4 linked regions of the Struthio camelus genome follow. The main gene of each other region encodes a partner of the protein of the gene in region 2 in a complex. Links are inferred from orthologs where the notes say so. Each region holds a gene or a part of one and is shown on either strand. Other genes may lie near its edges. The genes, in order: DPF1, SMARCD1, ARID1B and DPF3.

Region 1 (7,828 bases), on a different chromosome or scaffold from region 2:
GCGCCGCCGGGGCCGCTCCGCCGCTCGGGCACGGGGAGGGGGCGGCGGGGTTCAGCCCCCGTTTCCCCCCCGCTCCCCCCGCTGCCCCCTCCCCGCCCGGCCCCCCCCGCCCGCCCGCCGGGCAGGGTCCCGCAGCGCCCCCCCACCCCGCCGCCACCCCGCGCCCCCCCCCCCGGGTCCCCGCCGGCACCGGGAGGGCGGCGGGGGGGGGGGGGCGCATGGGACTACATATCCCGGCATGCCGCACCCCACGGCCCGCCCCCCGCCGGCCCCCATTGGCTGAGGGGGCTGCCAGTCACGGCGGGGGCGGGGCAAGATGTTGGTGGAGGGGGGGGGCTGCTGTTGGGGGTCGTGGGTCCCTCCCCTTCCCCGCAGGGCTGCACCCAAACCGGGTCCCGCCCCCCCCCCCGGGTGCAGGGGACCCAGGCGTCCGGGGCTGCCAGGGATGCTGACCCCGCCCCCTTCCGGCGGGATCCCCCCCCCGCCGGCTTCATCCCCCCTCAGCGTCCCCCCGCGCGTCCCCTCCCGGCCACCCCCAGCAGCAGCCCGAGCGGGACCCCGCACACGGCTCGCACACGCCTTGCACACGCGCCCGACAGGCCACCCGCAGGCGGACCCGGCGGGTGTGCACACACGGCCTCGCGGGTGTGCGCACACCTTGACGGGCTGTGCACACGCTGCATCACAGGTGTGCGCACACCTCGATGTGTCATGCACACACGGCCTCGCGGGTGTGCGCACACCTTGACGGGCTGTGCACACGCTGCATCACAGGTGTGTGCACACCTCAATATGCCATGCACACACGGCCTCGCGGGTGTGCGCACACCTTGACGGGCTGTGCACACGCTGCATCACAGGTGTACGCACACCTCGATGTGTCATGCACACACGGCCTCGCGGGTGTGCGCACACCTTGACGGGCTGTGCACACGCTGCATCACAGGTGTACGCACACCTCGATGTGTCATGCATACACGGCCTCGCGGGTGTGCGCACACCTTGACGGGCTGTGCACACGCTGCACCGCGGGTGTGTGCATGCCTCAACAGGCTGTGCACACGCCACCTTGCATGTGCGCACGCACACACGCGCACACACACACGCGCGCACACACACACACACACGCGCACACACACACGCGCACGCGCCTCGATGGGCCTTGCACGTGTGGCCTCACGGGTGCACATGCACCCTGTGCACAGGCCGCTCCCGTGTGCACACACCCTGACACATCATCCACCTGTGCCCTCGTGTGTGCACACACCCCAACAGGTCACCGCATGCAGCCTTACCCACAAGCACACGCTGACGCGCAATGCACGTGTGTGTCTTTCCAACAGGTTACCCGCACACAACACCTGCACACGCATGCGCACACCCGGCTGGTGCACAGCCCCGCAGACGCACGGACACGCGCCTCACATCTCTGCCCCCAGCCCGCACGCCCTGGGCTTGACACGCGCCCCGGACACCAGACTCACTGTGCACCCCCAGACGCGCTGAGCACCCCCGGACACCCTGGGCATCCTGGACACCCAGATGCGCTGTGCACCCCCAGACACCCTGAGCACCCCAAACACCCAGCCTCGCTGTGCATCCCCAGATGCGCTGTGCACTCCCGGACACCCTGGGCATCCTGGACACCCCCAGACACCCTGTGCACCCCCAGACACGCTGGGCACCCCAAACACCCAGCCTCGCTGTGCACCCCCAGACACCCTGGGCATCCCCAGACACCTTGTGCATCCCAGGCACGCTGTGCACTCCAGACACCCCATGCACCCCCAGACACGCTGGGCACCCTGTACACCCCCTAGACACCTAACGTACCCCGAACACCCCAGGCTCGCTGTGCCCACACCCCAGACACCCCAGGCTTGCTGAGCATCCTTGTGCATCCCAGATAGCCTGTGCACCTTGGACAGCCGAGGCTCACTGTGCACCCCAGACACCTCATACACCCCAAACACCCCAGGCTCGCTGTGCAGCACTGTGCACCCCAGACACCCCAAACACCCCCGGGTCAGTGTGTATCCCCATGCTCCCCCAGACACCTCGTGCACCCCCGTGCACTCCAGACACCCCTAACTCGCTGCACATCCCTGTGCACCCCAGACACCCAGACATCCCGTTCTTCCCTTGCACCCCAGACATCCCATGCACCCCGGACACCCCCAACTCGCTGCGCATCCCCGTGCACCCCGGACACCACCAGCTCGCTGCGCATCCCTGTGCACCCCAGACACCCCAGACACCCCGTGCATCCCTGTGCACCCCGGACACCCCTGGCCCGCTGCACATCCCTGTGCACCCCAGACACCCCAGACACCCCGTGCATCCCTGTGCACCCCGGACACCCCTGGCTCGCTGCACATCCCTGTGCACCCCAGACATCCCAGACACCCTGTGCATCCCTGTGCACCCCGGACATCCCATGCACCCCGGACACCACCAGCTCGCTGCGCATCCCCGTGCACCCCAGACACCCCAGACACCCCGTGCATCCCTGTGCACCCCGGACACCCCTGGCCCGCTGCACATCCCTGTGCACCCCAGACACCCCAGACACCCTGTGCATCCCTGTGCACCCCGGACATCCCGTGCACCCCGTGCACCCCCGGCTCGTTGCACATCCCTGTGCACCCCGGACACCACCAGCTCGCTGCGCATCCCCGTGCACCCCGTGCACCCCCGGCTCGTTGCACATCCCTGTGCACCCCGGACATCCTTGTGCACCCCGGACACCCCCGACACCCTGTGCATCCCCGTGCACCGCGGACCCCCACTCCCCGGCTCGCTGCGCACCGCTGTGCACCGCGGCCAGCCCGTGCGCCCCGGGCCCCCCCCGGCCCCCCCGGCCCCGGCCGCGGCCGCGGCGCCGCACTCACGATTTCAGCGGGTTGTGGACGGCCGTGGCCATGCCCCCGGCGCGGCTGGGGCCGAGCAGCGCCCCGGCGCCTCGTTCATCCTCCGGGGCCGGGGCCGGGGCCGGGGCCGGTGCGGGCGGCCCCCAGCCCGCCCCGCGCGCCCCGGCAGCCTGGGAAATGTAGTCCCGGCGCCCCCCGCCCCCCGCCCCCCCCCCCCGCCGCCGCCGCCGCCGCCGCGCCCGGCACCCCGGGCACCCTGTGCACCCGACCCAGAGACCCCGGCGGGACCCTGCCTGCACCCAGAGACCCCGACGGGACCCCGACGGGACCCTGTCTGCACCCAAAGACCCTGGCCGGACCCCGACGGGACCCTGCCTGCACCCAGAGACCCCGGCGGGACCCCGATGGGACCCCCGACCTGGCTGGGACCCCGGCGGGACCCTGCCTGCACCCAGAGACCCCGGCGGGACCCCGATGGGACCCCCGACCTGGCTGGGACCCCGGCGGGACCCTGCCTGCACCCAGAGACCCCGACGGGACCCCGACGGGACCCCCGACCTGGCTGGGACCCCGGCGGGACCCTGTCTGCACCCAGAGACCCAGGCTGGGACCCCCGATGGGACCCTCCAACCCACCCAGCACCCTGGGCACCCTGTGCACCCGACCCAGAGACCCCGACGGGACCCCGATGGGACCCACAGACCTGGCTGGGACCCTGATGGGACCCTGCCTGCACCCAGAGACCCCAGCTGGGACCCCCAATGGGACCCTGCCCGCACCCATAGACCTGGCTGGGACCCGTAACGGGACCCATAGACCCCAGCCAGGAACCCGATGGGACCCTGCCTGCACCCATAGACCCAGCTGGGACCCCATTGGGACCCTGTCTGGACCCAGACACTCCGATGGGACCCACAGACCCGGCCGGGACCCTGACAGGACCCTGTTCGCACCCATAGACCCCAATGGGACCCCCGTTGGAACCCCATCTGGACTCAGAGACCCCAATGGGACCCCTGCCCGCACCCATAGACACCGGCCAGGAACCCAATGGGACCCATAGACCCCGATGGGACTTGGACGGGACCCTGCCCAGGCTCAGAGACCCCGACTGGGAATCTGGTGGGACCCTGTCCAGAGCCAGAGAGCCGGCCAGGAACCCAATGGGACCCTGTCTGGACCCATAGACCCTGGCTGGGGACCCACCGGGACCCACAGACCCAGCTGGGACCCTGCCTGGACACACAGAACCCAACCAGGATCCCCAATGGCACCCATAGACCCCACCAGGACCCCCGCTGGGACCCTGCCCAGACCCCACAGCAAACAGGGTGCTGGGTGGGGGAAGGTGGCGCAGCAGGGCCAAGCCCCCCCAGCCCCCCGACCCCCCTCTGGACTCCATCGCACGTGGGGAAACTGAGGCAGGACAAGGCCGGGGGGGGGGCTCGGCTCTGCCCCCTCCCCGCAGCCGCGGCCCCTTTAAGCACTGGCAGGGATCCCTGCAGGTTGCCACGGCAACTGCGAGTGATCCAGTTCCTTATGCAAGATAAGGCGATAAATATATATATATATATGTATGTATGTGCATGCATGTGTGTGTGCGTGTGCCCGCGCGTGTGCACGGCCCGGCGCGCAGCCGCGGCCCGCAGCGCGCCCCGGCCCCGGGTACGAAGCGGAGGAGCCTTTATTCTTAGTACTGTCGTTTCTGAGATACAAAAAATCTGGAAATAAAGATAGAAAATCCCGCGGCCCCCTCCCGCCGCGGGTACAATCGGAGCTGAGGTAACGGCGGGCGCGGAGACGCGGGGGCGGGACGGCGCCGTGCACCGGGGCCCCCCCCGCACCTTGCACCAGGGCCCCGTGCACGCCTTGCACAAGAGCCCTGTGCACCTTGCACGAGGGCCCCACGTGCATTGCACGAGGGCCTGCACCCGCCTTGCACACCCTGTGCCCTGGCCCTCCCCTGCCTCGCACACATCACACCAGAGCCCCCCCCGCACGCCTCGCACGGGGGCTTCACGCACCTGGACCCCTTGCACGCTGCGCCCCAGGGCCCCTGCCCGCCCCACCCCGGCACCCTGGTGCACCTTGCACGAGGGCGCCGTGGCCTGGGGCGGGGGCCAGCCGCCCCACGCTGGCTCCCCCCAGGCCCATGTGTGGGGCAGGGGCTGCGGTGGCACCGCGGGGGGAGAATGCCCACTTGGGGCAAAAATTGGCAGTAAAAGCAGCGCTGCTGGCTCTGACCGACGCGAGGGGGGGGGGGCGGAGAGCGCAGGGTCACCCCCCACCAGCTATAGTGGCCCCTCGAACTAAAAGGGGAATATATTTATATATATATTATATTAAATTAGAGGAAAATACAAAAATCTGCTTAAGTTAAAAAAAAAAAAAAAAAAAAAGCAAGAGGATTTGGAGAGGTGAGCGGGGCCCCCCCACCGCAGGGGTGCCCCCCGCTCTGCGGCTCTCCTTGGTCCCTTGTGTCCCCGGGGCTGAGGGCAGCCGAAGGGGGGCCATGGGGGGGCCCAGATCCCCCCCAAGCCTGGTCCTGCCTCCCTCCATCCCCCTCCGAACCCCACAGCCCACCCTGGGCCCTGCTGGGGGGCACCGGGACCCCCCTCGGCCTCACTAGAGGGCACTGGAGACCCCGGGACCCCCCCTACCTTGCTGGAGGGCATTGGGGACCCCTGGGGAACCCCCTGGTCCCTGCTGGGGGGCACTGGGACCCCCCCTGACCTCGCTGGAGGGCACTGGGGACCCCTGGGGAACCCCCTGGTCCCTGCTGGGGGGCACTGGGACCCCCCCGACCTCGCTGGAGGGCACTGGGGACCCCTGGGGAACCCCCTGGTCCCTGCTGGGGGCACTGGGGACCCATAGCCTCAGGGAGGGGTGGCACTGGGACCCTCCCCGACCTCACTGGAGGGCACTGGGGACCCCTGGGGAACTCCCTGGTCCCTGCTGGGGGTCACTGGGACCTCCCCAGCCTTGCTGGAGGGCACTGGGGACCCATAGCCTCAGGGAGGGGGGGCACCGGGACCCCCCAACCTGGCAGCGAGGAGCCCCCCGGCCCCCCGGCCCGCGCTCACAGCTCGATCTCGAAGGTTTTCTGCACGTCGTCGGCGAAGGGGTTGGGGGCTGGGGGGGGCTTGGACTCCAGGGCCGCCCACTGCACCTCGAAGGGGTCCGGGGGGGCGCGGGGGGCGGCGGGCGGGGGCCGGGCCCCCGGCAGCCCCGGGGCGAAGGGGCTGGCCTTGGCGGCCAGCTCGGCGGCGGGCAGGGGGGCCGCGGCGCAGAAGGCGTTGGCCACCATCTGCGAGGGGGTGATGCCCACCACCGGCACGGCCGGGGCCGCGAAGGGCAGCGCCGGCGGGTAGGTGCCCACGGGGACGAAGGCCGGGAGGAAGACGCCGGGGGGGGCTGTGGCGGGGGCTGCCTCGTAGCCCAGGGGGTAGGGGGGCACGGCGGGGGGCACGGCACCCGCTTGCTGCTGCTGCTGCTGCTGCGCCTTGGCCGTCTTGGAGACCTCCTCGAGCCACCGCTCGGCCTCCGAGGGGGTGCGGCGGTGGCCCGGCTGGAAGGGGGGGGCCCCCGCGGCCGCCCCCTCAGCCCAGGACATGGGGCCTGCAGGGAGGAGGAGGAGGGATGAAGGGCATGAGGTGGGGGGGGCTGCGAGTCGCGCGATGCACGACACCGCGGGGGGTTGGCATGGGGCTCTGCTGGCGGGGGCTGCTGGGGGGGCTGCTGGGGGGGCTGCTGGGGGAGATGTGGGCACCCCCCACGTTTGGGGGATGCAGGTGCCCCTAGCCTAGGAGAGGGATCTAGGTGCCCCTTTGCCAGGGGGGGATGGGGGTGCCGCCACGCACAGCGGTTCATGGGTGCCCCTATTCCCGGCGAGGGACGCAGGCACCCCCATGCAAGGGGGGGGATGCGGGGGCCCCGATGCATGGGGGGATTGGGATGTCCCCATGCAAGAGGGGGGATGCGGGGGCCCCGATGCACGGGGGGATTGGGATGCCCCCATGCAAGAGGGGGGATGCGGGGGCCCCGATGCACGGGGGGATTGGGATGCCCCCATGCAAGGGGGGGGATGCGGGGGCCCCGATGCACGGGGGGATTGGGATGTCCCCATGCAAGGAGGGGGGATGCGGGGGCCCCGATGCACGGGGGGATTGGGATGCCCCCATGCAAGGGGGGGGATGCGGGTGTCCCGATGCATGGGGGGGGACGCGGGCGCCTCCATGCATGGGGGAAGTGGGTGCCCCTATGCAAGGAGAGGGACGCGGGTGCCCCCGTGGACGGAGGAGGCCGGCCGGCCGGCTGGGGCGGGGGTACCTGCGAGACCCCCCTCTGCGGGGGGGGTGGCGGCGCCGTTGGGGGCCGCGATGCCGAAGGGGTCCCCGGGGGGGCAGGCGAAGGAGGCGTCGATCTGGCTGCAGAGGTCGTTGATCCCGTCGCTGTCGCCGGGGGGGCTCGACTCCAGCTCCAGCACTTGGCGGGGGGGAGACGGGACACGAAAAGGCGTCGGGGGACCCCGAAAACCTCAGCAGCCCCCAGAGGCAATACCCAGGGTGTCCCCCTGTCCCCCCCACCCCAGGGTGCCGCCACGCGCCCCCTAAACGCGGGGTCCCCCCCGCCCCCGGCCGCGAGCCCCTCACCGGCGCCGCGGGCCTGGAAGCTGTCCTTGCGCTGGAGGGTGGAGGGCAGCTCGTTGAGCCGGAGCGAGAGCTGCCGCTTGAAGGGCGAGTTTTTCTGGCTGAGGGCCGGGAAGCCGCGGAAGGAGCCCTGGCGCACGAGCTGCTCGAGGGGCGCGTGGCGCCGGGGGATGGCGTGCTGCGCGCCCCCCCCCGCCGCCCCCTCCGCCGGAGACGTGGCGGCCGGCGGCGGCGAGGCGCTGCCGGGCTGCGCCGGCGCGGGGGGCTCCGCCGGGGCCGGGGCCGGCGCGGGGGCCGCCTCGGCTGGCG
Region 2 (7,856 bases):
CATGGGGGTCCTGGAGCTTGTGGGTCTTAATATATTGCCACAATGCCTGGATGATCACTGGACGGGTCTGAGTGTGGATCCCCAAGAGACGAGCCAAGCGGGGATCCAGTTTGAACTGAGGAGGCTGAAACAAAAAGCACAGAAAGACGAGATAGGAACGCGGTGACAGACAGGGCTCAGCAAACACTACCGGCCCAGCAATGTTGTTCCAAACAGCCTACCTGGTAATCGAGCATCAGGAGGACAGTACAGCGCACATTTACATCTCCCGGCCTCTTCACCTGGAAACCATCTGTCTCCTGAGTTGTAGCAGTCCTGTGCCACTGGGGGACACAGAACAGGAGAGTGCGTTCAGTGGCACCCCTAGTCTTTGTTCCCTTTGCTCCTGCTGGGTACCCAACATGCTTGCTGGTAACCCCCACCCACCTACAGAGAGTTAGTCTCATTCCCATATATAGTTTGAAGCAAGAGTTAATGCACTTGCTCAGAGCCCCAGCAAGTCAATGGAAAAGCTAAGATAAGACTTCAACAGCTCCTAGCTCCCAGCCACTTGTTCAAGCCACCACTACCTCTCGAGACATGAATGACATGCAAATTCTGTCTGCTGAACAACAACCCACTTTTAGAGATAGTGCAGCAAAAAGCAGCTCACCTCTACCAGGTGATTGTCTGGGCCATACAGGTCTTTATCAAGTTCAATGACCAGAGATTTAAAGAAGGATGAGAATTTTCTTTTCTGTTTGGTGGCATCATATTTGGACAAAGCAGACTGCAAGCAACACAGGAAGGGTGTTAGGAGAGCTAATCTCAGTACTCGGTGGTGGACCTAGAGCCCCAGTTAGCTTCTTTTAACCGGAGACATCAATGCTTGTCTCTTTCCCTCCCCAAAGGGGTTGGGTGTCTCACACTCACGTCTTCCAGCAGCCTTCCTTCTACCCGAAGCTCCCAGGAGGCAACTGTGCCTTCACCATCCTCTGCATCTGACTTGGCTGGGTTGAAGGTATTGGAGATAAAAATACGTAGCTTTCGCTTTTGCTAAGAGAAAAAGCATCAGCTAAATGTTAATTTTGAAATAAAGGATCAACTATATTATGTTTTGCTAAAACTAAGAGGTTCAGTATCCTTATCTATTTCATATTCTACCTCTCCCAGGACGGGCAGCAAGGAAAGAGGAACATCAGGCCTTCCTGGCTCTGCTCCTCCGTTGGCATCTGGAGTACTAAGGTTCCTGATACACTGTGCTTACAGCGACAGGACCCAAGTTTCAGTGCACTCCTGCTCTCTTAACTAAGGTAAGAGTCTCCAGTCCTTGCTTACAGTAACATTGAACATAATCCTCTCTACCTTAATGGGTCGCTTCAAGGCCTCTTGGATATCCAAGCGTTTCCGCATGATCGTCTGGTCCAATTTCCTTTCGAAGGCCAGTAAGTCCATATAGGCCTGAGACTCAGGTACAAGTTCACGAATCTACAGCAGAGCACAAGCCAATCAAGAATGCAAGTCACCGTTAACTCCCCCACACTTCTCCGATCTACTGCATCTCAACAGAAGCTGCGAAGGCACATGCCACTCACCCTCTGAGGTAGAATTTTGTCAGCCATCTTCTTCTTTTTAGCGCTGTTAAGGAAGGAGATGCACACACACATGCATTAAAATGGCAACCACTCTGTCCTATGTAACTGCAGGCATTCGTGAAGGGCGTGAGGATGACGGGTTATTCTCTGGTTTAGTGCTGCAGCATTAGCAGTGCTCTTAGCCTGGGTGCCAGCCGTCAGTCCAGCCTCTCATTTTCAGAGGCACTTACTGCTTCCAGTCCCCACACGCAGGCAGGCTCTTTACTCCCCACAGCCCCTGCCCCACGAGGCAGCCAGTGCTGCAGAGCTGACAAACGCTGCAGCACCGTGACTAACCAGTTACCTGAATGCTTCGCGTCCCCTCCGAGAGCTCGGGAAGTGGGGTTACATCATGTTGAAAGGGGCATGCTGACATAATATCGGGCCAAAGTGACTCTCAAGCCTAATTTAGCTTCAGTTTGACATGCTTTAAACCAAGAAATGAGTTAACAATGATGCTAAGGCTGCCATTATACTGCCAGAAACGTAACAAGCTTGCCCTTGTCTAGCAGCTGCACATTAACGCTTTTATCGGCTGGAAGCTCCCCTCTCCCCAACAAGTAGCTGCCCAAGGAAGCTCAAGTCCCTTTGAGCCGCCCAACAAAAAGCGGCAGTGAAAAGCCCAGGCACGGCACGAAGGCAGCGCGCCCCAGACCCGCCGCAGAACAGAAACGCATTGTGCTGCCGGGAGCAGCCCCCGCAGAGCCGTGACCGGGATGTCCCCAGATCCCGGGGCACGGCAGAAGAGGGGGGCGTCACCGGCAAAAGCCTGCACCCCGGGGGGGAGCGGGGGGGCTTTAAGGGAGGGAAGGCGTCCCGGTGGCCGGGGGTGCCCCGGTGGCCGGGGGTGCCGCTCCTTACTTGTGGTTGCGGTTGGGCACGGCTTGCGGCTGCACCTGCTGGAGCTGCTGCGGCGCCGGCCTCTTGCGGGCCTGGTCCAGGCCGGCCTGCGCCATACCGGGCCGCACCGCCGGGCTCCCGCCGTAGCCCGGCGGCCCCATGGAGGGACCTTGCGGCGTCAACCGGCTACCCGGGAGCATCCCGGGGCGCTGCGGAGAGAAAGAGACCGGTTCCAGTGCCCGCCGGGCGGCTCGGGGTGGGGGCAGTGCCCGGCCCGGCCCGGCCCGGCCCGGCCCATCCCCGCCCCGCCCCGCCCGGGCCGCCCCGGATAACGGCGGCCGCCGCCGCCGGCCCCTCCCCCGCCTCACCGGGTAGGCGGCTCCCGGCAGCGGCGAACGGTACAGGCCTTGTCCCGGAGCCGGGCCCATGCGCACCGGCCCACCCGGCGTGCCCGGCCCCAGGGCGGCGGCCCCGGCGGCGGCCCCGCCGCCTCCGCCGCTGGGAGTCACCGCCTGGAAGCCCGCCCGCGCCGCCATCTTCTCCCAGCACAAAGGGGAGCGGGCCGGAACCGGACGCCGGCCATAGAGAGCCCGCGCGGGGCGTCGAGCTAGAGCGTCGCCGCCCGCTGCCGCCCGCCCCCTGCCGCCTGGAGGTCCGCGCTGCCGGGCCGGGCGGAGGAGGGGGAGTCTATAGGGGCTCCATGGGGGGATGCAGGGGCTGGGGGGAAGGGTGCTGGGGCCACGGGGGGGCGTTGGGGGGCTGTGAGGGGTGCAGACTCCATGGGGGGTCCATGGGGGGATGCAGGGGCTGGGGAGGAGGGTGCTGGGGCCATGGGGGGGGACCATGGGGGGATGCAGGGGCTGGGGAGAAGGGTGCTGGGGCCATGGGGGGGCTCTCAGGGGTGCAGAGTCCATGGGGGGATGCAGGGGCTGGGGAGAAGGGTTCTTGGGCCATGGAGGGGGCGGTGGGGGGCTGTGAGGGGGTGCAGAATCCATGGGGGGATGCAGGGCAGGGGAGGAGGGTACTGGGGCCATGGGGGGCAGTGGGGGGCTGTGAGGGGTGCAGAGTCCATGGGGGGGTCCATGGGGGGATGCAGGGGCTGGGAAGAAGGGTGCTGGGGCCATGGGAGGGCAGTGGAGGGGCTGTTGGGGGTGCAGAGTCCATGAGGGGGCTATTGGGGAGGGCTGTGTGGGTCTTTGGGGAGGGGTGCAGCATCTGGGAAGGGTTGGTGGGGGATGGGGGGGTCCATGGAAGGCCATAGGGAGGTGCAGGTGCCATGGGGTGTCCATGTGGGGCTGTGGGAGGTGCAGGGTCTAGGGGGCTGTAGGAGGGAGCAGGGACTATGACGGGTCCATCAGGGTGCAGGGTCCATGGGGTGCTGTGGGGGGAAGGGTGCAGGGTCCATTGGGAGGCTATGGGGGGTGCAGAGGCCTAGGGGTGTCCATGGGGCGTTGTGGAGGGGGTGCAGGGGCCATGGGGAGCAGTGTCCTTGGAGGGGGCCTAGAGATCTATGTTTCTTTTATTTTCTTTATTCCCTTTACGTCCCTCCAGCTCACAGTTTGCTGTATGTCATCCCCCTTTGTCACCATCTGTACTGTCACGGAGGGGTGTCTGGGGTGGGAGAGGCAGCTCTGTGTGCCAGGGGCTCTGATATCCATAGAAAACCACCTGTAAGACACTTTCCAGCTCCCTAAGCCCTTAGGCTGGCAGCCCCTGAGCTCGTCTACCTGCCTCAGCTGGCAGCACACCTTGCTCTGATCTCCTCTGCCCTCTTCCAGCTGGGCTGGTTTCCCCTGCAGCCCTCAGGGCTACTGTGCAGGAGCTGCTAGAGCCGGAGCTGCTCTGGGGCTGAAGGGGGTTGGGGTATGAGTCTTGTGCTTGGCTGGCTTTTGACGGTAGCGTTGGCTCTTACAATATCTACCTGTTGCAGGAGATGCTGGTCTGGTCCTGCAGCCTCTCTTGCCCTGGGGTGTGCCCCGAGGAAGGTTGCCTTGCCTGCGCCCCGGAAAGGAGGACTCTGAGATGCCAAAGTGGCGGTAACGCCTCTCACTGGAGCTGCTGTCCTTAACATCTTAAGAAGTAAGCATGTGGGGGCATAAATGGATGTGCTTTTATATCGGTGTGAATATATATGTCTGCGTCAGTATGTTGTAGCTGAAAGACTTCGTCTAGATGGTGATAATACTCCACAGAGGTACAAAGTTATCCGAAATAGCTCCTCACAAGGTCATGCCAAATTACTCTTTGCATATGGATAAGTGTGAGTTAATGGAGGGACTTGGAGGATGTTCAGAATGGGATTTCTGAAAGTGATTTTTCAAAGGCTGGAGGCAGAAACCTCCTCCCAGTACGTAGGGTTTGAACCTCGGTGGTGACTGGATAAAGAGGGGGACTCGTGAGTATAGACCACCAGGTTTCACTGTGGGTTCTGCCACTGATCAGGTAGCCGGGGCCTTGTTTGTTCAGGTTTAGGCTGAACAGCCAGGTAAAGGGCTCCGATCTCCCTCAGCAGCGGCTTGGGCTGCTACAGGCAGCACAATGTTAGATTTAAAGGCCACTTTCTGCAAGTATTAGCATTAAGCTCCCTATTCCCTAGAGCGCTTCCCCTTGTGGTTGCTCAGAGAGAAAAGGGACATAAATGCAGCCAACGTTAATTTGTGGGGGAAAAAAACCTAGGTGAACAGTCACATCACAAGCACTAATTAAACAATTAATGATCATGGATCATTTAGGAGGATGTCCTGTACAGTGCATGGCATTGTCAACTGAGCAAAGAAGTGGGGATGTGTTGGTACCTTCTCTGCCAGATACGGTATTTCCTACCCTCAGTGCTTTGAGCACAGCCTATTAACTGTTGTCTCAGCATCCGTGTGTCCATGCAGTTAATTTAATGCCACCTCTGACAGGCTTGGCGCCCAGCTGCCTTATGAAATATTCATGGGGAGGAAAAGCAGCGGAACTTATCTGCTCCGTATTGTTTGGATGCAACTTTGACTGAGACTTAAAGCCTGGCAGGATGGCAGGAGCCTTTTGGGCAGGCTGGAACTGCCTGGCTCTCCTGGGAGAGACAGAGTGAGGAGCTGTGAAAGCAGCAGAAAGCAAGGGCTAACCTGAGAAGTGGAGAGAGGGAAATGGGAGTCAGATAGCTGCTCAGTTTGGCACAGGGAGCTGCAGGGTCTTGAGAGCCCCGGTGTTGCTTGAGCTGAGCTGGGAGCAACCCCAGCTCTCTGTCCCCTGTTATTAGCTGTATCCCCTAAGAAACACCTTCCCCCTTGCCTGTGCCCTGAGGGTTTGGTTGGTTCACTCCTCCCAGTGGAGATGGTTTGTGTGATGCTACCCCGTGCACCTTGGTTTTACTGCACCTGCTGGCGCAAGGCAGCTACTCTGAAACCTTCCTCCCCAACCCGTATGGCTCTGGCTCCAGGCAGCCAAGCAGCATCCAGGACTGTGTAATTATATCTCAGCGCCTGTTTCTGCTGGCAGCTTTAGCACTGAGCAAGTGGTAAGCGGGAATTACTGCCAGGGAGGAAAGGAGGTGATGCTATCTCTGCCATGGTTTTATGCATCCTGCATGATTAATCCTTGCTCTGTAGGGTTTCAGCAGCCACACGATCTGCGAGGTAAACACAGCAGTGTGCAAGCAGGTGCTTCCCAGCGTCTCAGGCCTAGGTGTGTCACATCTCATCCTCACGTAGATCATCAGAGATGCTTCCTGCGACGTGTAATTAACTGTCTTGCGCGCAGCATGAATCTCGTGCAATAATATTGAGTGACAGACGTGGATGAACACGCATGCTGCCTTTGCTACGCACCTTGCAGGCTGCCAGCCTCACGCAGTGCACCCATCCGTGCACCACAGCCCCCCTCAAGGCTCCCTGGCCAGCGGACACTGCCCCGGCATGCTCTGAAGGTGCACAGCTCGCTTGCGCAATGGAGCCTTGAATATGGAAACATACAACCTGTGCACTTCGTAACAGGGCTGCTCACATTTGTGTGCTGTCTGGCTACCTGCGGTACTCCCAACGTGCTCCCGCGCCCAGCTTCTGGGATGGGAACTGTCTTGGCTGTGCCACCTTTGGGTCCAGGCTGTGCCTTGCAGCACAGACACCATTTCGAGCGCAGCGGCAGAAACGGCTCTGCCAGCCGTGCTGAGGCTGGGGATGTTCCTGCGCAATGTGAGGCTGTGACAGATGGAGGGGGTGACCTGCTCCCAGCAGGGTTAATGGGGAGCTGCGAAAGAGATTACAGCCCTCAGCACCAGGGCTGCTGCCTGCCCCCTGCAACAGGAGCTGCTGTGAATGCCACTGCGGAGGGAGCACGCGTGGTCAGCTGCCCTGGCTACTCAGTGGCTGGTTGCAATTAATTTAGGTTCATTAACTCCCTTCTGGCAGTTAGCTATATTATCTTGTTCCTATTCAAAGCCCACCCTGTAGCCTATGCAGCACCGGCTCTGGCAGAGAAGGACCAGAGTAGCAGTAAGTCAGTTCTAGTTTAAATGCAAAACACCCGGCTGCCATTTCCAGGAGCAACAGGGGCATGACCAGAGCCAAGTGACCAGAGGGAGTTTGGCATTTCAGTATTCCCTGCCCACTCACTGTTATTCAGTCTGTGTGGGGTCCTGAGGGCTTTTTCTGATGCACAGTGTTGGATCTGGCATGTTACTTTTGCTCTCTGCAGCTGGAAATCTTTAGGACAGAAACTGTGTTTACATATGGCTTGTGCTACAACTGCTACTAACTCTGTTAAATTAAAAGCAGGTGAGATCCAAGCCAGTGACTCATTTCTGCTGAAACTCAGGTGTCTGTCCCAAACCACAAAAGTGTTAGAGTTGTCAAGGATTAGCAGCTGTGCGTATGTTAATTCTCGTCCCCCCTTGGGAGCAAAAATCAGTTCCCATCCTCCAGCCCTGACGTGTCCTCACGTGGCAGAGCAGGACCAGGCAGCGACACTGGAGCTCGCTTAGGTACCAAGAACAATTGCCACATTAGCACAGCAAAGCACGCGTTTGAAGACTTCATGCAAGTCCAGACTACAGCTTTATCCTTTCCCCCAGCCCTTCCTTCTGGCCTCAGCTCCAGGAGTTCAGCGAGACCTTCAGGAGCATCCTGGGATGGTGCTGTCCCCACCTGCCTCCTTGGGGAACGTTTCCTGCAGCTCGGTGAGAGAGAAAGGCTCAGTGTTCATGAGTTATATCATTCTTTATATCATTGTTAAGAGTAGCAGGTATTGATGTACAATGCATCTGTCATCTTATTGTGCTTCCTATGAAAATGTGTGTACATAGTACAGATACCAGAGAGAATTCAACACTTTATACACTTGAAGGCATTCAGAGATCAGTAACAGAAAAAAAATGGCACAAGAACAAGGCCTAAAAGCTACTAGATGGGTATCTACACTGAT
Region 3 (7,748 bases), on a different chromosome or scaffold from region 2:
ACTCTATGATTACTGTCGCACTAAATCTCATTTAATTTTCCTAATTTATAAATAATGACGATAAATTATTAGTTTAAAGGAAAGCTGGCCTTTCCTTAAGTTTCTCCAAAATATAATGCTGCTCCCAAACAATGATATAGGATCCTGAATTATTAGGCTAAAATTCAGTTTAAAGGTTCAGATTTCATCAGTGGGTAGACCTGGAATCAACAACACCTACTATTACTGCCAAGTGGAAGATTTTGTTTTGATTTACAAAATGGGTTGAGCTGATATCTCACCAAGGACAGACTTAAGAGCTGTTTTTCCTAGAGGCCTCAGTCCACAGAAGCACTTAATCAGGTCTTAACTTTAAGCAAGTGAGTGATCTTATTGACTTCAGTGGATGATTCGCATTTGTAAAACTGAGGTATTCAAACATTGTATTCAAATGGCCTAAAACCAGCAAGGAAAAAAATTGCTAATGTTACAATTCCATGATAAAATAATACATGACATTCTTGAGATGGAGATGGTGATGTTTCTAAGTCCTTTTGTTTACACATTGCCAGAAGAAATTGATTACATTGCCCAGAATTAGTGTCTGCTAAAGAATAGATTTTAATTACCTGGTAGAACGTGTCACTCTCTACACGTTTTAGGCCACAGTCTGTTGGCGTACACTGTATTTTTTCATTGTCTATTATGACCAGCTAAAATAAAATTATCGCACTTACATATAGCCTTTACACCTAACTTAACAGGTAGGTATCCACTGTAATAGCTTACATATTACATTCATGTCTGAAATATAAAATAAATAACATACGATGAAGAAAATATTACTTTGCTATATATTGACCACATAAGGGTCTTCTTAAAAGGAAAATCGCATTACTATAGCACCAAATACCAAGCTAAAGCATAAAGCTAAAGCACTGACCTGGCTACATACTTTTCTGTGATCTGATTTATGCCTCCTTATTGGAATCAATTAAAAGATTTGCACTGACTTCAGAATGATTTGGATTGGATGTTTAACTAGTAAAAGACGTGATAATTTAATAAAATCTCAATTCTCTCTTTTTTTTCTCATTAAACCTAATGCCAATCTGAAAGAAGGAAATTGAGAATGATGGTGAATTTGACAACTGTTTCATCTAACTGCACAGTGAATTTAAGCATACAGCACAACCAGAACCAGACAAAAGGGATTTTTGCATGAAGGAATTTTTCTGACCTTTGTGGGTATTAGGTCAGATGCAACAGGGTCTTGATGCTCTGACTGGATTCTTACCTCACAGAAAAAAAAAAATCAAAAAGCACAATATTGCTGTTTATTCCGATATCTCTAAAGGTAATAACGCCTCCATGCTGTTAAAATATTGTTTTATTTTCTGTATATCTCTTTACCGTTACTCTTTATATGATCTAAAAGCCACTGTTCTGACCAAACAGAAAGATGTTTGCCTTACTGCTGTGAAACGCATCTAACTTCCATACTGGCAAGCTATGCACAGACAGCTTAGGGTGTCTGTATAAATGTCATAGTCAATGTAATAAGTAAACAACAGTAAGTTTAGACAATTATATTGTTTATCCTGGAAAGTTATCCCAGAACACAGGAGTTTATAATTTATCAGGAAAAAATCAAGAAAAAGAAACCATGCTTAGACAATATTGCATTATAGAAAACAATTAAATTGAAGAAACACTGAAAATTGAACTAAAGTTGAAACTACGCACTTGCGATATTAAATATCAATGCAATCATTTTGCAGCAGATTATATGCATGACAATTAGAGCTTTTTTTACATTCTATTACAATAAATTCATAATTCATACATATAATGAGAGCTTTTGGAAGGGAGAATTTGAATTTAACAAACACTACCACTCATCATCTGAGCAAAGATGGCAAAGGGAATTTCAACATTATTTGTGATCTAAAAAATTGAACCATCGTTGCTTTGTGTTGTGCTTCCCTTGCACAGACTGCAGTGCCTTCTGTCTGCTTTAGGGTGTGGCATCTGCCATTGGGGAGGAAAAACTGGCATGTGTTGCCTTTTATAGCAGACTGATTTCATTGTGCTGAGGGCCTCAATTTTATAGCCTCTTAGATCCAATCTCGTAGCCAGCCTCGTTGCTGAAACAAATGGAAGGAAAAGGAGTTAGTAGCATAAACTCTTCAGTTTCTAAGCTTCATCTTTTTTTTTTTTTCTTTCCCAGGAAAAACGTCTTGAAGTAAATCTGCGTTAAAACTTTGTGGCTTATTTTCCTGTTCAGAAAGAGTTGTGGACTATGTCAGGAAGTACTGCAGTCCTCAACGGAGGCACGGTCAATACATTTATCAGATTTTAAATATAAATATTTTTGCTTGGATATAAATGTCGCAAAGTATAAATGTGTAATTGATTTTTTATTTTATTTTAGAGTACACATGTAAATAAATACACACAAGTAGACATCTATATTTATATTTGCATATGAAAGACTTCAAAAAATCAACTTATGTGGTTTAATGTGTATAATTAGTGTGCGTTTGAATATAGAAAAGAAGAAAATCCAGGAGAAAATGTCAAAAAGGCTCACTAACAAAGATGTAGTATTCTCTTGGCAAAAGCTGATGAATGATTTGGCATGAATTCATCTTACAGTTCTGTTATTCTCTCTCCTACAAAGATGATATACCCCTTTCTAGCAGTTTGCATAGAATTGCAATTTGTTGTTGTTACAGACTGTAATGACCCTTGGGTATGCACCTGATTCTCCCCACTAGAATTACTCACCGTTTTTTTTCCCACTCTGTTTCTACTAGCCATATAACATTTTCGCACTTGCACAGAGTACCAAAAGAGAAAACGAAGAAAAATATGATTGTAATAGAAGTATTATCAAGATGTACTTGATGAACACTGAGACTTTAAAAAACTAACTCCCTAATGGAAATCAGAACATAGCTGACTTTTTCAGACAGAGCTAAAATGAATAGACACTGGAATCACACTGTTTGCACATTTATCAATAATCTTTGCATGTAATTCAACATTAGAGCATGAAGCTTCTGCTCTTTAATGTTTTCACAGTGGATATAAAAAAGGCCTACCTACTTGTGACAGCATCTTTCTTGGTATACTGTATTTTTCTCTATCATTCCTATTGAATTTCCTATTTATCTATTTTGAAATTTGAAAGCACGGTCATCTCTAACAGAGCACATAGAACAATTCATTTAAAACAGCGTATTTCAGACCCTTGCTATATTGAAAACATTCATTAACGTCCCAGTTTGCTATGTTTGTGCAGAATATTTGATTTTCCCACTGCTTTTCTTAGTTGAATGTAGTGTATGACTACTATCTTTTCTAATGCTAAGTTATTATTAAGATAGTTATAGAAACCCCTCCAACACATTCTGAAAGAGTGTACAAAAATGTAGGTCAGCAGCAACAGTTTAGCATTTGGAGCAAAAGTTACTTTGATTACATATTTTGTATTACTAGGTTTTCATGAGTGCTTTGTGCATACTAGAAATTATATTGTTTGGGGAAACAGTTATGAGGCTCAAAACGTCTCACTCCCCTTGACCAGCTCCTGTTGATCCGCAAATAAGCACACAGAACATACTGAAAAGAGCCCTATGTATAAAAGCATCATCAGTGCAATGACCATTAGAGTCTGGAGGCAGCTGGGCAACGTGGCCAACTGCAAAGATGCTACTGCCGCAGAATTTTGGGTTACATTTTATAACCCTTTGCAAAAAAAACAGAAATCTTCCCGGGGGGGGGGGAGGGGGGAGAAAAAAAGCATCCTATTTTTCCATGAAACGGATGACAGGATTTCCCTGTCATCCGCGTAAAATGAAAATGCGTTTGCGCGGCACATCCCGGACTCAAGGGCAGAGGACTAGAGCCTTTCAAAGTTTGACCCATTTATTTCTATGTATTTAGCGCAGCCAATCTGGGCACCGGCAACGTGCGGGCTGCCCCCGTCTACCCGGCCCGGCCGGGCCCGACCGCTGAGCGCCCGCGGGCAGCCCCGCCGGGCCGGGCCGGGCCGGGCCGGGCGCCTCAGCGCGGCCGCCTCGGGCCGGAGCCGCCGTTGGGGCGAGGCCTCGGCCGACATGAGTCCCGCATGGGGTTGCCTCCTCCGCGGAACTTGATCCCAGAGCCGGCGCCCGGCTCCAGCCCTGGGTGCGCACAGAAAATGACGAAAATAAATAATAATAATAATGAAAAAAAAACCCCACCAAAATCTAAGCAGGGGCGCGAAGGGGGCCGCGCCCCCCACTCCTACCGGCCGCCCGGCCCCGCGCGCCCGCCCGCGCGTGCCGGCACCGGGGCCGCGGCGGGCAGCGGCAGCGGCAGCGGCAGCGGGAGCCGGCGCCGCGCCGAGTCCAGTCCGCGTTTTGCGAGTGCGCGGGAGCGCTCGGCGCGGAGGGGGCGATGGCTGCTGGGGCTCGCTCGCTCGCTCGCTCGCTCATGCCATGCTGGGCCAGATAGGCTCAGTCAGACGTGTATTTACCCATATCCGGGTTAGGGAGGAAAAGAAAAAAAAAAAAAGTTTCATTTAAACCTGAACAAAAAAACTTTCAACATGAAATCACACAGCAGGAACAGGCACAGACCGTAAGGCATTCTTACCATTTCTAATCTCAATCACGGACTCGGGGAGGGAAATTTCTGTAATTTTTGTGCGTGTGGAGTGATCCGCAGGGGATACTGTTGGCTCAGTTACGTCTCTTTCCCCCAGCCGTTTCTCTTTTTGCCCCTCTCCTCTCCTTTCCCTCCCCCCGACTGGCCCCCCTCCCCCCTTTTTTTTGGAGGGTAAGGGGTTTTGTTTTGTTTTGTTTTTTTGTTTTTAATTCTTACTACTAATAATTTCTCCGGACTTGCAATGTTGCAATGATCATGGCCGCGCAAGTCGCAGCGGCTCCGGCGGGTGCGAACAACAGCAAGGGCAAAGCCCCGAGCCTGCCGGGCAGCCTGGGCCCGGAGCGGGGCCCGGGGGGGGCCGGGGCCGCCGCCGCCGCCGCCGCCGCCGCCGCCGCGGGGGCTCCCGGGCCCGGCCCCATGCTGGGGGTCGGAGACGGGACTCCCACCGGCGGCAGCAGCCTGAATAATGTAGATCACCATCTCCTCCAGCACCACAGCGAGCCGCTGAACATGGCCAATAACGCAACTTCTGCCGCTGCCACCGGTAACAACAGCGGCGGCGGCGGCGGCGGCGGCTCCTCCTCGGAGCCGGCTCTGAAGGAAGGTGGAAGCTCCTCGGCGTTATCTTCTTCTTCTTCTTCCTCCTCCTCCTCCTCCTCCTCCAACCCGGGCCCGGCCATGGAGACGGGGCTGCTCCCCAACCACAAACTGAAAAGCGTCGGAGGCGATCACCCCGCCGCGCCGCCCCACCACCACCACCACCATGCCCACCACCCGCATCACCATGCCCACCACCACCACCACCACCACCACCATGCCCACCACCCGCACCACCACCACCATGCACTACAGCAGCAGCTAAATCAATTCCAGCCGCCGCCGCCGCCGCAGCAGCCGCCGCCTCAGCACCATCCCATGCAGAATAACAACAGCAGCCTCGGCGGCGGCGGCGGCGGCGGCAGCGGCAGCAACAACAACGGCGGTGGCGGTGGCGGCGCTGCTCAGCCCAGTGCAGACATGGAGCAGCAGCAACATGGAGGAAAAGACAGTGTTTTGGGCACTCAGGCCGAGCCCCCGCAGCAGCCGCAGCAAATGCTGAATAAAAGCGCCGACGAGGAGGAGATGCCCGGCAAAATGGGCGAGCCCATCGGCGGCCGCTACGAGCACCCCGGCTTGGGACCCCTGGGCGGACAGCAGCAGCCCCAGCAGCCGCCCCAGAGCGCTGGGAGCGGCGGCGGCGGCGGCGGCCTCGGCGGCGGCGGGAGCGGGGGCGGCGGCGGCGGCGGCGGCGGCGGCCCCTCCGCGGTGGGTGTCGCGGAGTTCAACAGCTATTATGGCAACGCTGCCCCCGCCGCTGCCGGCAGCGCCACGGCGAGCCGCGCCGGGCCTTGCTTTGATCAACATGGCGGACAACAAAGCCCCGGGATGGGGATAATGCACCCCACGGCGGCCCCCAACAGCATGGACCCCCTGCAAAACTCCCACGAAGGTTACCCCAACAGCCAGTACAACCACTACCCGGGCTACAGCCGGGGCCCCGGCGGCGGCGGCGGCGGCGGCGCGGGAGCCGTGGCGGCGGCAGCGGCGGCGGCGGCGGCTGCCGGGGCAGGCGGCGGCGGCTACGGGGGCTCCTCGGCGGGCTACGGGGTGCTGAGCTCGCCGCGGCAGCCGGGCGGCGGCATGATGATGGGCCCCGGCGGCGGCGGCGGCGGCGGCCTCGGCAAGGCGGCTGCCGGCGCGGCGGCGGCGGCGGCGGCCGGCGGCTTCCAGCGATTTTCCGGGCAGAACCAGCACCCGTCCGGGGCCACCCCTACCTTGAACCAGCTGCTCACCTCCCCCAGCCCCATGATGCGGAGCTACGGCAGCAGCTACCCCGACTACAGCAGCCCCAGCGCCCCGCCGCCGCCGCAGCCCCAGCCGCAGGCAGCGGCAGCCGCCCCGGGCAGCCAGCAGGCAGCGGCGGGCATGGGCATGGGCAAAGACATGGGCTCCCAGTACGGAGCCGCAAACCCGGCCTGGGCAGCGGCGCAACAAAGAAACCACCCGGCTATGAGCCCTGGAAACACCGGGCAGACCATCAGCAGGACCCAGGTAACCCCCCGCGCGGGACCCGGGACGGCTCCCGCCTCCGCGCGGCTCCTGCCCGCCGCTTAGTTGCTGTACAATTCACTTTTCTTGCTTTCTTTACTCTTTCCTCCTTCCTCCCCCCCCCCACCTTTCCTTATCTTTCTTTCTTTTTTTTTTTTCTTTTTCCCCCCTCTGGGCCAATTCAGCTACTCGCTGCCTCCGTAGCCGGGGCGAGCGGCGCACAATACGCGGCCCCAATTAGGCTGGAGGCATCGGAGTGCTGGTTTCACTGCCGAAAATTAGGTTGTTCTGAAACCCAATTAACAATTTTCCCTCCACTTTGAAATAGCGATGCAGAGGCGCAGGGCCCAGAGGAAAAGCAGCTTGGGACGAAGAGGGATTTGGTAACTAGAGTGTCAGACCCAGTGGGTTCTTGGAGAATAATATTCATTATCTTACAGCAGGGCCTTTTTTTTTTTTTTTTTGGAAACAGGATGAGTTGCTGTGGAGCATGCTTTTAGCAAATTAGTTTGTCACTGATGGAGTTACCGCAGTGAAATCCGCTGAAAACAGCCGGGTTCCTTTTTCTGTTGGAAGAGTGTGTATGTGCGTGTGTGTGTGCGTGCGTGTGTGCCCTGTGTGTATGTATATGCGCCGTAGTCGTAAGGGCTCGTGCGATACGCATCGAGGTGCGTGAAGTGCTCTGTTCTCGTGCGTTAGTCCAGCAGCCTTTACAAGAGTGGCACGGCGCTGAGGAGCGTGCCCGAAGTGAATACGTGCACGAATAACTGTGTTTTTTCTCCCCAACACGCACGCGAAAATCCGTAGGCGGTGGGAAGACCGCAGAGGTCCTTCGCGCGGAGCAAACGGGCGCGGGGCGCTGCGAGAGATCGCAGCGTGGCCCTGACGGACGTGCCGCATCCCCGACGAGCTCGGCCCGATAAGTCCCTAAATCGGTAGGGAGCGAGGCGGTGCCGGTGGAGTCGCGCCGCTGTAGGTCGCCGCTCTGCCGGCGCCCGGGCCGCGGGGCGCGGCGGCGAGGTGGT
Region 4 (7,619 bases), on a different chromosome or scaffold from region 2:
CCAAAAGAGATTCAGCTAGTGAGAAAAGAGATATGCAGCAAAAGAGGCAAGTTGAATGTAAGGAGTTGTTGGTCATTAATAAGGGACTCCACAGACTGAGCTTACTCAATGTAATGCATTCCCACGGAGGCTCAGATACACTGGAATACATTATCCCGGGAGGACTAGTCTAGCATGAACAAGGCAACATATGTGTCCAAGTGCCTGAGAGAAGCTGAATATTGGACACACTTAAATGCACAAGCACACACAGGGAGCAGCACGATACCTGAGCTGGGATTTTGCAGTCTCTACATTGTCCCCCATCTCAGAGCAAAACCTTTGTGTGGCCAGTTTCTGTAGGGGGCGTCTGTGGGTCTTGAGATATAATCAAAACGCAGACAGAGGAAATGCAAATGTCATTCAGCTCCCTTTCATTGTCAGGAAGGACACATGAGGATAAAATACTGTGCACTGCATCTTTTCCCCTATTATGTGTCCTACTGCTTTTGTCCTAATTTATCCCATGCATAATTTATTTACATGTGTATTGTTTCCCGATCAGCAACTTTAAAGAATAAATGAAAATTATAAAATGTTTTATTAAACAAGTTGTTAATAAAAAATGCAGATGGTGTCAGACAGCCCGTACCAATTCTGCTTCCTCTACACAGCATTAGTACTTTAAAAAGCACGTAGAGAAAAAACGACCCCAGCACTTGATGTCTATTGTTTCCTCCTCTCACACTCCAGGGGTAAGGGGAGGGAAAGGGAGCTAATTATAAAAGGCCTAATCCTGCTCCCTCCGACTTTAGCAGCAGCGGGATCAGGCCCCCCATTCCTTTAAGCGCAAGCACGCGTTTGTCAGGATCCCTCCTCTCCGGAGGCATACTGCGGCTGCTCGGAGCGACGCTCACAGGGATGAGAAGTGCAAACCGCCGCGAAGTCCGCCGGCGGGGCCGGGCCGGGCCGGGCCGGGCCGGGCGCCCGGCGCGCTCCCCGGCTGCGCCCCGCTCCCGCGCCGACGCTCCTTCCAGGGAGCTCCCAGCATCTCACCGCCCTCCCCCAAAGGCAGGCAAGCCCGGTCTTCCTCACTGCTTGTAATATTTACACAGTCTCATAAACGTACGTGGCATTTTACAGCCCAGGTGAGAAATTGTACGTTATGGCTCCGAATATTGCTTTCGTGCAGTTTAAGTTCCCAGCAATGAGCGGGAGTAATCTGCCCTGGGTCTGAGCAACGCACGGCGGGGGAAAGGACATGGTGAGAAGTTGCTCTCGCGGCAGAAGTATTAAGCGTGCCGTCAAATGGGTGGCACGTCGTCTGCTCCGTGCAGTTTTCAAAGCATGTTCAGATCCCCCTCTCCGCCGAAGATACACGGACTGCTTTGATAAACCTTCTGACAGCTGCGCTCCCCTCTTCCCGCAGATTTTTATAAGGCGCTATAGAAAGGTTGGGTAAACGAAAGCAAAGGTTTTCCTCCAGGATGGAGCAGGAGAAATGATAAACCTGTCAGCACCCCCTTTCAGCTCGAGGCTTTCCTTCCCTCCAGATTGCAGAGAGAGCGGCAAGAATCCCTGGAAAAACCGTCAAGTGTTTTTCCAACTCCAGCCGGAGAGAGTTGAGTCGAGGGGGGAAAAAGAGAGAGAGAGAGAGAGAGCGCGAAAGAAAAGAAAAGAAAAGGAGAAAAACGTCGCAGCCCTAATTTCATCCCTGAAAACTCAAACGTATAAAAACACCCGCTCAGTGCAGCCAGAAAGTGCAAACGAAGCGTCACTGCCAGGTACTCTGCTTTCTTGCTTTATTAGCAAGAGCGCTGCCCCCGTTAGCAGAAAAGTCGTTTTAAAAAGGTTAAAGCAGCTCCTCTCCCCACATACAGTGCCAAATCCCACTCTCCCTAATGCCTTGAGGGATTAACGGTGTGTGCTGCAGACCATAAGGAAAATAAAGGACGGGATCCAGAAGACAACTGGCTCCCGCGTTCTTCCTCTTAAATCGGCCTGAATTCGAGATCCGAAACCCTAGAATATTTCTGTAGCAGAAGCACCTGCCCCCTCCCTTACACCCGCACTCTCTCTATTTCCTCAGCAAACAGTTGGCCAAATTCTGTCCGTGCAGACCTTGGCTGTGTGTGCCCACCCTCAAGATGGAAACATAATCAACTCTCTTTGCCACTTTTAAAAGCGAAAGCCTGTCATATGCAAAATAGATCTCCGGACTTCCTGCCCCAAATTAACCACCAGTAATCCCGAGTCATTCATTTAACGTGTCTGTCTCTCCCCCTCTTCCTATCGCTCTCCCTCGCGCGCGCACACACACACAAATCTAATGTAATTGCAATGCCCCTGCTGCCCTGCTTTCACACGGTCCGTGCAACCCCTTTGCCACTGAGCTAAGAAGCGATGTGGCCGATTCGTTCCCCCTCTTTAAGTCAGCCCAACTCTGGAAAGATTTGCGAAAGAAAACTCCGAATTACGGTCGGAGCGCCGAGAAGCCGAGGATTAAGCGCACTGTTTCCGAGCCCGATCCGTCCCCCATCGGACACCGGAGTGGCAGCGGGACGAGCGAGCCCGGACGCCAGGCGCAAGACTCTGTCAAGTGCATGCAACCCCCTCGGCGGTCCTTCGGGATCTTGCCGTTTCCAAGATTCACGCGGTTCCGAAAGCTGCAAAGAGCCCCAACGCCATCCTCCCCTCCAGACCGTGCATCTCTCCGTCTCCCAGACAGCCAATTAAGCAGAACGCAAATGTAACATTTTTCTCGATAATTTCAGCACAAGACATTTATGTGTGTTGCACAAAAAGGAGAGTAGCTCCGAAAGAAAGGAGGGCGGGAGGAGAGATCAGCTGGGAGACTGGAGGCACCTGGCTCTGGCTGGCAGCAAGCATCGGAAAGGCGCCTTTTTTCATATTTAAACCACGCGGAATATGTACATTTTTGATTCCTACTTACGCTTTCAGGGGGTTGTGAATGACAGTCGCCATTTTGCTACAATGTAACAGAATATTGTGTCTCGGAGTTCTAAAGGTTCGCTCAGGGGAAGCGGCCAGCCAATCAGCGGACGGGATACCGGCGCGCCGCCCAATCCCGTCTCGCAGGCGGAGCCAGGGCTCTGCTAGTTATTAGGGGAGCTGTCAAAGCCCAGAGGTCACTCCCTTTCTGTGGAACTGGAAGCGAGCAGGTCTTAAAGGGGCAGCGCACACCCAAGGGGCTGTCACCACACCGAATTAGATTAAGAGGACGAGGGTGGGGGGGAGGACGACACTTTTGCAGTTATTTGGCTCTTTCTTTAAGGAAATCAAGCGGAGAGAGAAGTGTGGGAGGGAAAGCTCGGCTCATTCATTGTCTTTTTGCACTGCCGACGCTGCCTTTCGGTTCCCAAACGGCATGCCCCCTTATTCACGTGCAAAGGTTGGATGCATGCCATTTTAGCAGGAAAACAAATTACATGTGTGCTGACATTTGCTGCCGCATTAGATTCTCAAGCTTTTTCTTGCTATTCCCAGTTAGTTTCCCTTTCTTTCAAGCCGTTCTCCTCTTCAGGTTTCTGGGAGCTGCCGGCGCCCGCCGCGACTCCAGGGCAGCCCCCCCGTCCCCCTCCCCCTCCCCCAGGAATTTCTCAATGTCAGTCATCCAGCTCCTGCAGTCAGTGCACTGGTTACATAATGCACAGTGGCCGAACCCACTGCCTGCTTGTTTTCTCTTTCTCCCACAAAGCAACTTCTGAAGTGATCGGCTGGTTTAGCGTGTTGAGACCTGGTCCTCCGATCTTTCGGCAGAAAGAAAAGGAGGAGGAAGAGCTTTAATCCACGTTTTATAGGACGTTTACTTGCACAGTAAAAGAGCAATTCGGAGGCAGGACTTCTGGAATAGACAGGGTGTAGTTAGAGTCCATTCCTGGGGAAGCAGCGAACTCCAGGAAGTCTGCGCTTACCTGCAACTCATTAAAGGAGCTTGCAAATGAATTATGTAGCACAACCTAAGTGATTTAAGAAGTACCAATCCTGATTCCACTGAAACTCAGAGGCAAATCCAATGAAGTTCATGAAATTATACCAGCATTAATTTGGTATAAACAAGCGCAGAATCAGACTAAGAAGTTTTCCTCTTACCTGTAAGCTTTGTCATGTAATACTTCTCTCTCTCTCTCTCTCTCTCTCAAAGGTCTTGCTTCCCTTCAGGCTTCCTAAAAAAAAAAAAAAAAAAAAAAAGCACAAGCCTGATTCTCCATTCTTTGCATTTATATAATCAGAGGAAACTCAACTAAAGACAGTTAAAACACACTGCTGCAAAAACAGTATAAGAAAGAAGAATAAAGAACCAAGTTTATTCAGAACTTACTGAATAAAAGAATGGAAGTACCTGTGCTTGTGGGGTATTCAGGTGTTAACAGAATTGGAAATAGCAATCTGTCTAGCTAAGGGCTGAATTTAGGAAGACCAAGGATACCAAAACCTGTCTTTTGTTTATCAAAATAAAACTTTCTAGTAAGGAGGCAGAAGAGAAAAAAAAGGGAGATGGAGAACAGAAAGATAAGTAGATGATGAGAGACAGAGAAGAGGGGAAAAGAGCGATGCATCAGTTTCCCATTCATTATGGATACATCAGAAGTTTTGAAAAGTTAAATCTTTCCAACACATTGCCTACTCTGGCTGTTAGGTCAACCTAACTGCTGTGCCAAGTTTATATCCCTGGAGGGAATCATCTCTTCCATCAAAGCAATCTAAGCCATTTGGTTACAAACACTGCTTAGCAGAAATAAGCTTTCTGTAAGCTGGAGAGTTGCCAAGATATTGAGATATATCCCAAAACACAGTTCTGGGAAGCAATCTTTAAGAATGTTTCCATTATCATATTACATTATGTTATTTAATATAGTAGTAGCCCAAGTGACATTGAATGTGACTACAGATACTCCTGTTTAGTACTCTCACACTGTTCACAGGAAAAGCTAACCACAAACTGCCAAGTTTTTGTAAAAATACAGTTGATGTACACACCAGAAAGAAATGAACAGGTTAGTGCGCACTTGAACTAGTGACCCTGGATGTCCTCATTTCTTAATATTACATCCCACAGCCCAGACTGCTGACAGAAATTCTCCCCTAGTCTAAATATTAGGAAACAGTGCTTCACAGTACACTACACAGTGGCAGGTATGAATTACTGCTATAGCCAGGGATTTGTTCAGATACAATTTAAAGAACAGGTACCACAAAAGTAATGATCATATGCAAGAACTAGACTGGAGAAAAAGCATGTAGCAAACCGCTTTAACTATTTGTGCAAAGAATTTATCACGCTCTTTTGGCTACCTCATGTCCACACTGATACTAATCAGTCTCCAGGATTTGTATGTGTGGCCCTGAGAACCTTCAGAAAACGACAACTGTATTTATATGAACTTAGACCACAAAGTGCCTATCTTTGCCTAAAGACCTATATCACATCCCACTACCATGAGGATTGCTCGTTTCACTTTCCTCATTGTCCTGCTATTCACCTGGTGGTAAACATCAACCACATTTTAGCATTTGGTCTAGAATGGGCAATATTTATTTGTGGAATGACAGTTATGCTGCTCACAAAAGAAAAAATAGTCTGGAACGTAGTGAGAACTGGAGGCAGATCTGAGCTACTGAGAGAAGGCAGTGCCACAATTCAGCCAAGCTCTAGAAAGCCCTGATATACTCTAGTGTAAAATGGTGACATTTTTAGAGAATTAGAAAAAAGCTGTTTGAGATCATTTTTAGAAGTTTAATGAGTCCCTCTGGTCCTGTTCACTTGGATATATAGGCCCATTTCTGCTCTGCAGGCAAAGAGCTCTTGGTGCAGCTTGGCAAGGAGCGTATTACAAAGATGGGATTAAAACACGCTCATGCTCCCTTGCTGCTCCCTATTCAGACATTGGGCCTTTATCAGCCACCAGCAACTGCAGCAAATAGTGAAAACAGCCATAGACGGTGGACGGTTGATACTTTTTCTCCTAGTCAGATCCCATATTACTGGCCAGGAGCAGTGGTCAGTAGTACTACCTTGTTCAGAGGAATCTCTAGGAAGCCTAAGGACAAAGCTGCCGTAGCAGAACAGCAGGAAGACTGACATGTGATAACTAAGGCATGAGGCTTTGCTCATCTATCTATATTACTTTCACATAGAGTGCTTCATGTAGAATTCTACAACATTTAGGTTACTGTTTTAGCTGTAAAAAAGGCATGCAAATAAGGAGCACTGAGTGGCATTTTGTTTGTGATGACCTACATAACTTATTCACATAGTCACTCTTTGTGAGTAAGGGGCGCATCAAAAAACCTATGCTAATAAAACTTTTATACCACACCATGGCAGGCTCCATTTTCATATACACACCATTCCATCAACCACTGATCATTTATAAACTAAATTTTTAGGTTCCTTTTTATTCTGGTTTTAGGCTACTCTAAGTCACTAATCAATACTGTTACTGTTGACTTACATCGCACATGAGCCGAACACATCTGAAACACACCCAGTTACATATACACTAAGCTCCGAGCTTTGGATTTTTACATTCCTAGGTAGCTGCTGATAGTTTTATTCAGACCCAGCTGAAGCATACCAAGGAGGCTACAGGAAAATAAAAATGCTGTTAAAATATTAAGCACTAGAAATTTAGGTGGGCATACTTTTAATGAAAGGTTCCCAACTGTTTGGGCAGGCAACATTTAAATTTTAAAAGGAAAGGTAGATTTTGACATAAAACTATTACATAAAAATCTATGGCATTAACACAAAGCCTAAACATTCAGGCTCTAAGGGGCTAGAGAGAACAAGGATTTTGAAGGTGGAATCCACACCCTCATATCAGGTCTGATATACGGATCTGCAGTTTGTCTCTACCCAAGTAAAAGAAAAACAATGTAGTTTCTTTCCATTGTATTGGAAAGTGTCATGTGTCATGGATCATACTGCTACCCTTCTGATCCACCCCTATTGAAAACATTGTTATGGTCTACATAATGCAAGTGCATTGCTATTTTCTGTGAGGTGTGAAAAACGTTGCTGCTCACCCTGCAAAGCCTTATTTTCACTGAGGACCCTTGTCTGTGAAGGGGTTTTACCCTGTATGTATAGTCTCATGCTTTCCCTTTTGTCTTGTTAACTTTTAACATACAATTGTGTTTTCTAGAGGGAGGAAAGATTAGATTTTTACTTTCACTCCACTCTTGTGAATTGGAAAGTGAAACAAACTACACACTGACACGCCAGCAACTTGTCTAATTCTGCAATGGAAGAAAATACAAAATAAATAGTTGTAAGTCTACCAGAAGTCACATGCTTTTTGAGCTTTAATATCCCCAGATATGTCTAGTAATATGCAATTGTATTTTGTTCAAACATATTAATATTCAAAGGACCAGATTCAGATAAGGCGTAAGTATGACTACACGCTCTGTGACAGAAGCTCTCCTATCTTTGGGTTAGAGCAAAACAGGGCCTCACATCCACAGATATCATGCAGTAGATTCGAAATCTTAACCCCTTTTTATTTATTTAAAGCTTTGCAGGCATCTCTCATGCACTGCTTCTCGTCAGCCTGCCTCCTCATTTTCTTTGATCTTTACCAATAGTTGGGTTCACTGAAAGAGGAGGGAAAGAT

The links.
Region 1: SMARCD1 (region 2) and DPF1 share a complex: the UniProt entries of both Homo sapiens proteins name them as parts of the neuron-specific chromatin remodeling complex. The link is inferred for Struthio camelus from reciprocal best matches to the Homo sapiens genes SMARCD1 and DPF1.
Region 3: SMARCD1 (region 2) and ARID1B share a complex: the UniProt entries of both Homo sapiens proteins name them as parts of the neuron-specific chromatin remodeling complex. The link is inferred for Struthio camelus from reciprocal best matches to the Homo sapiens genes SMARCD1 and ARID1B.
Region 4: SMARCD1 (region 2) and DPF3 share a complex: the UniProt entries of both Homo sapiens proteins name them as parts of the BAF complex. The link is inferred for Struthio camelus from reciprocal best matches to the Homo sapiens genes SMARCD1 and DPF3.

The regions. Positions count from the first base shown.
Region 1 is NC_090957.1:571,226-579,053, forward strand, and holds the start of DPF1 (zinc finger protein neuro-d4), read right to left. Parts: upstream 3,012-7,828; 5' UTR 2,924-3,011; coding exon 2,892-2,923; intron 72-2,891; exon of another isoform or gene 1-71. Other genes in the region: NUMBL (numb-like protein), read right to left, coding at 5,950-6,488, 7,200-7,355, 7,523-7,822. UniProt on the Homo sapiens protein: May have an important role in developing neurons by participating in regulation of cell survival, possibly as a neurospecific transcription factor. Belongs to the neuron-specific chromatin remodeling complex (nBAF complex).
Region 2 is NC_090969.1:1,483,789-1,491,644, forward strand, and holds the start of SMARCD1 (SWI/SNF-related matrix-associated actin-dependent regulator of chromatin subfamily D member 1), read right to left. Parts: upstream 3,005-7,856; 5' UTR 2,990-3,004; coding exon 2,822-2,989; intron 2,663-2,821; coding exon 2,475-2,662; intron 1,618-2,474; coding exon 1,575-1,617; intron 1,468-1,574; coding exon 1,345-1,467; intron 1,036-1,344; coding exon 913-1,035; intron 770-912; coding exon 653-769; intron 324-652; coding exon 222-323; intron 125-221; coding exon 1-124. UniProt on the Homo sapiens protein: Involved in transcriptional activation and repression of select genes by chromatin remodeling (alteration of DNA-nucleosome topology).
Region 3 is NC_090944.1:78,519,939-78,527,686, reverse strand, and holds the start of ARID1B (AT-rich interactive domain-containing protein 1B), read left to right. Parts: upstream 1-4,748; 5' UTR 4,749-4,884; coding exon 4,885-6,726; intron 6,727-7,748. UniProt on the Homo sapiens protein: Involved in transcriptional activation and repression of select genes by chromatin remodeling (alteration of DNA-nucleosome topology).
Region 4 is NC_090946.1:43,565,665-43,573,283, reverse strand, and holds the start of DPF3 (zinc finger protein DPF3), read right to left. Parts: upstream 3,009-7,619; 5' UTR 2,965-3,008; coding exon 2,933-2,964; intron 1-2,932. UniProt on the Homo sapiens protein: Belongs to the neuron-specific chromatin remodeling complex (nBAF complex).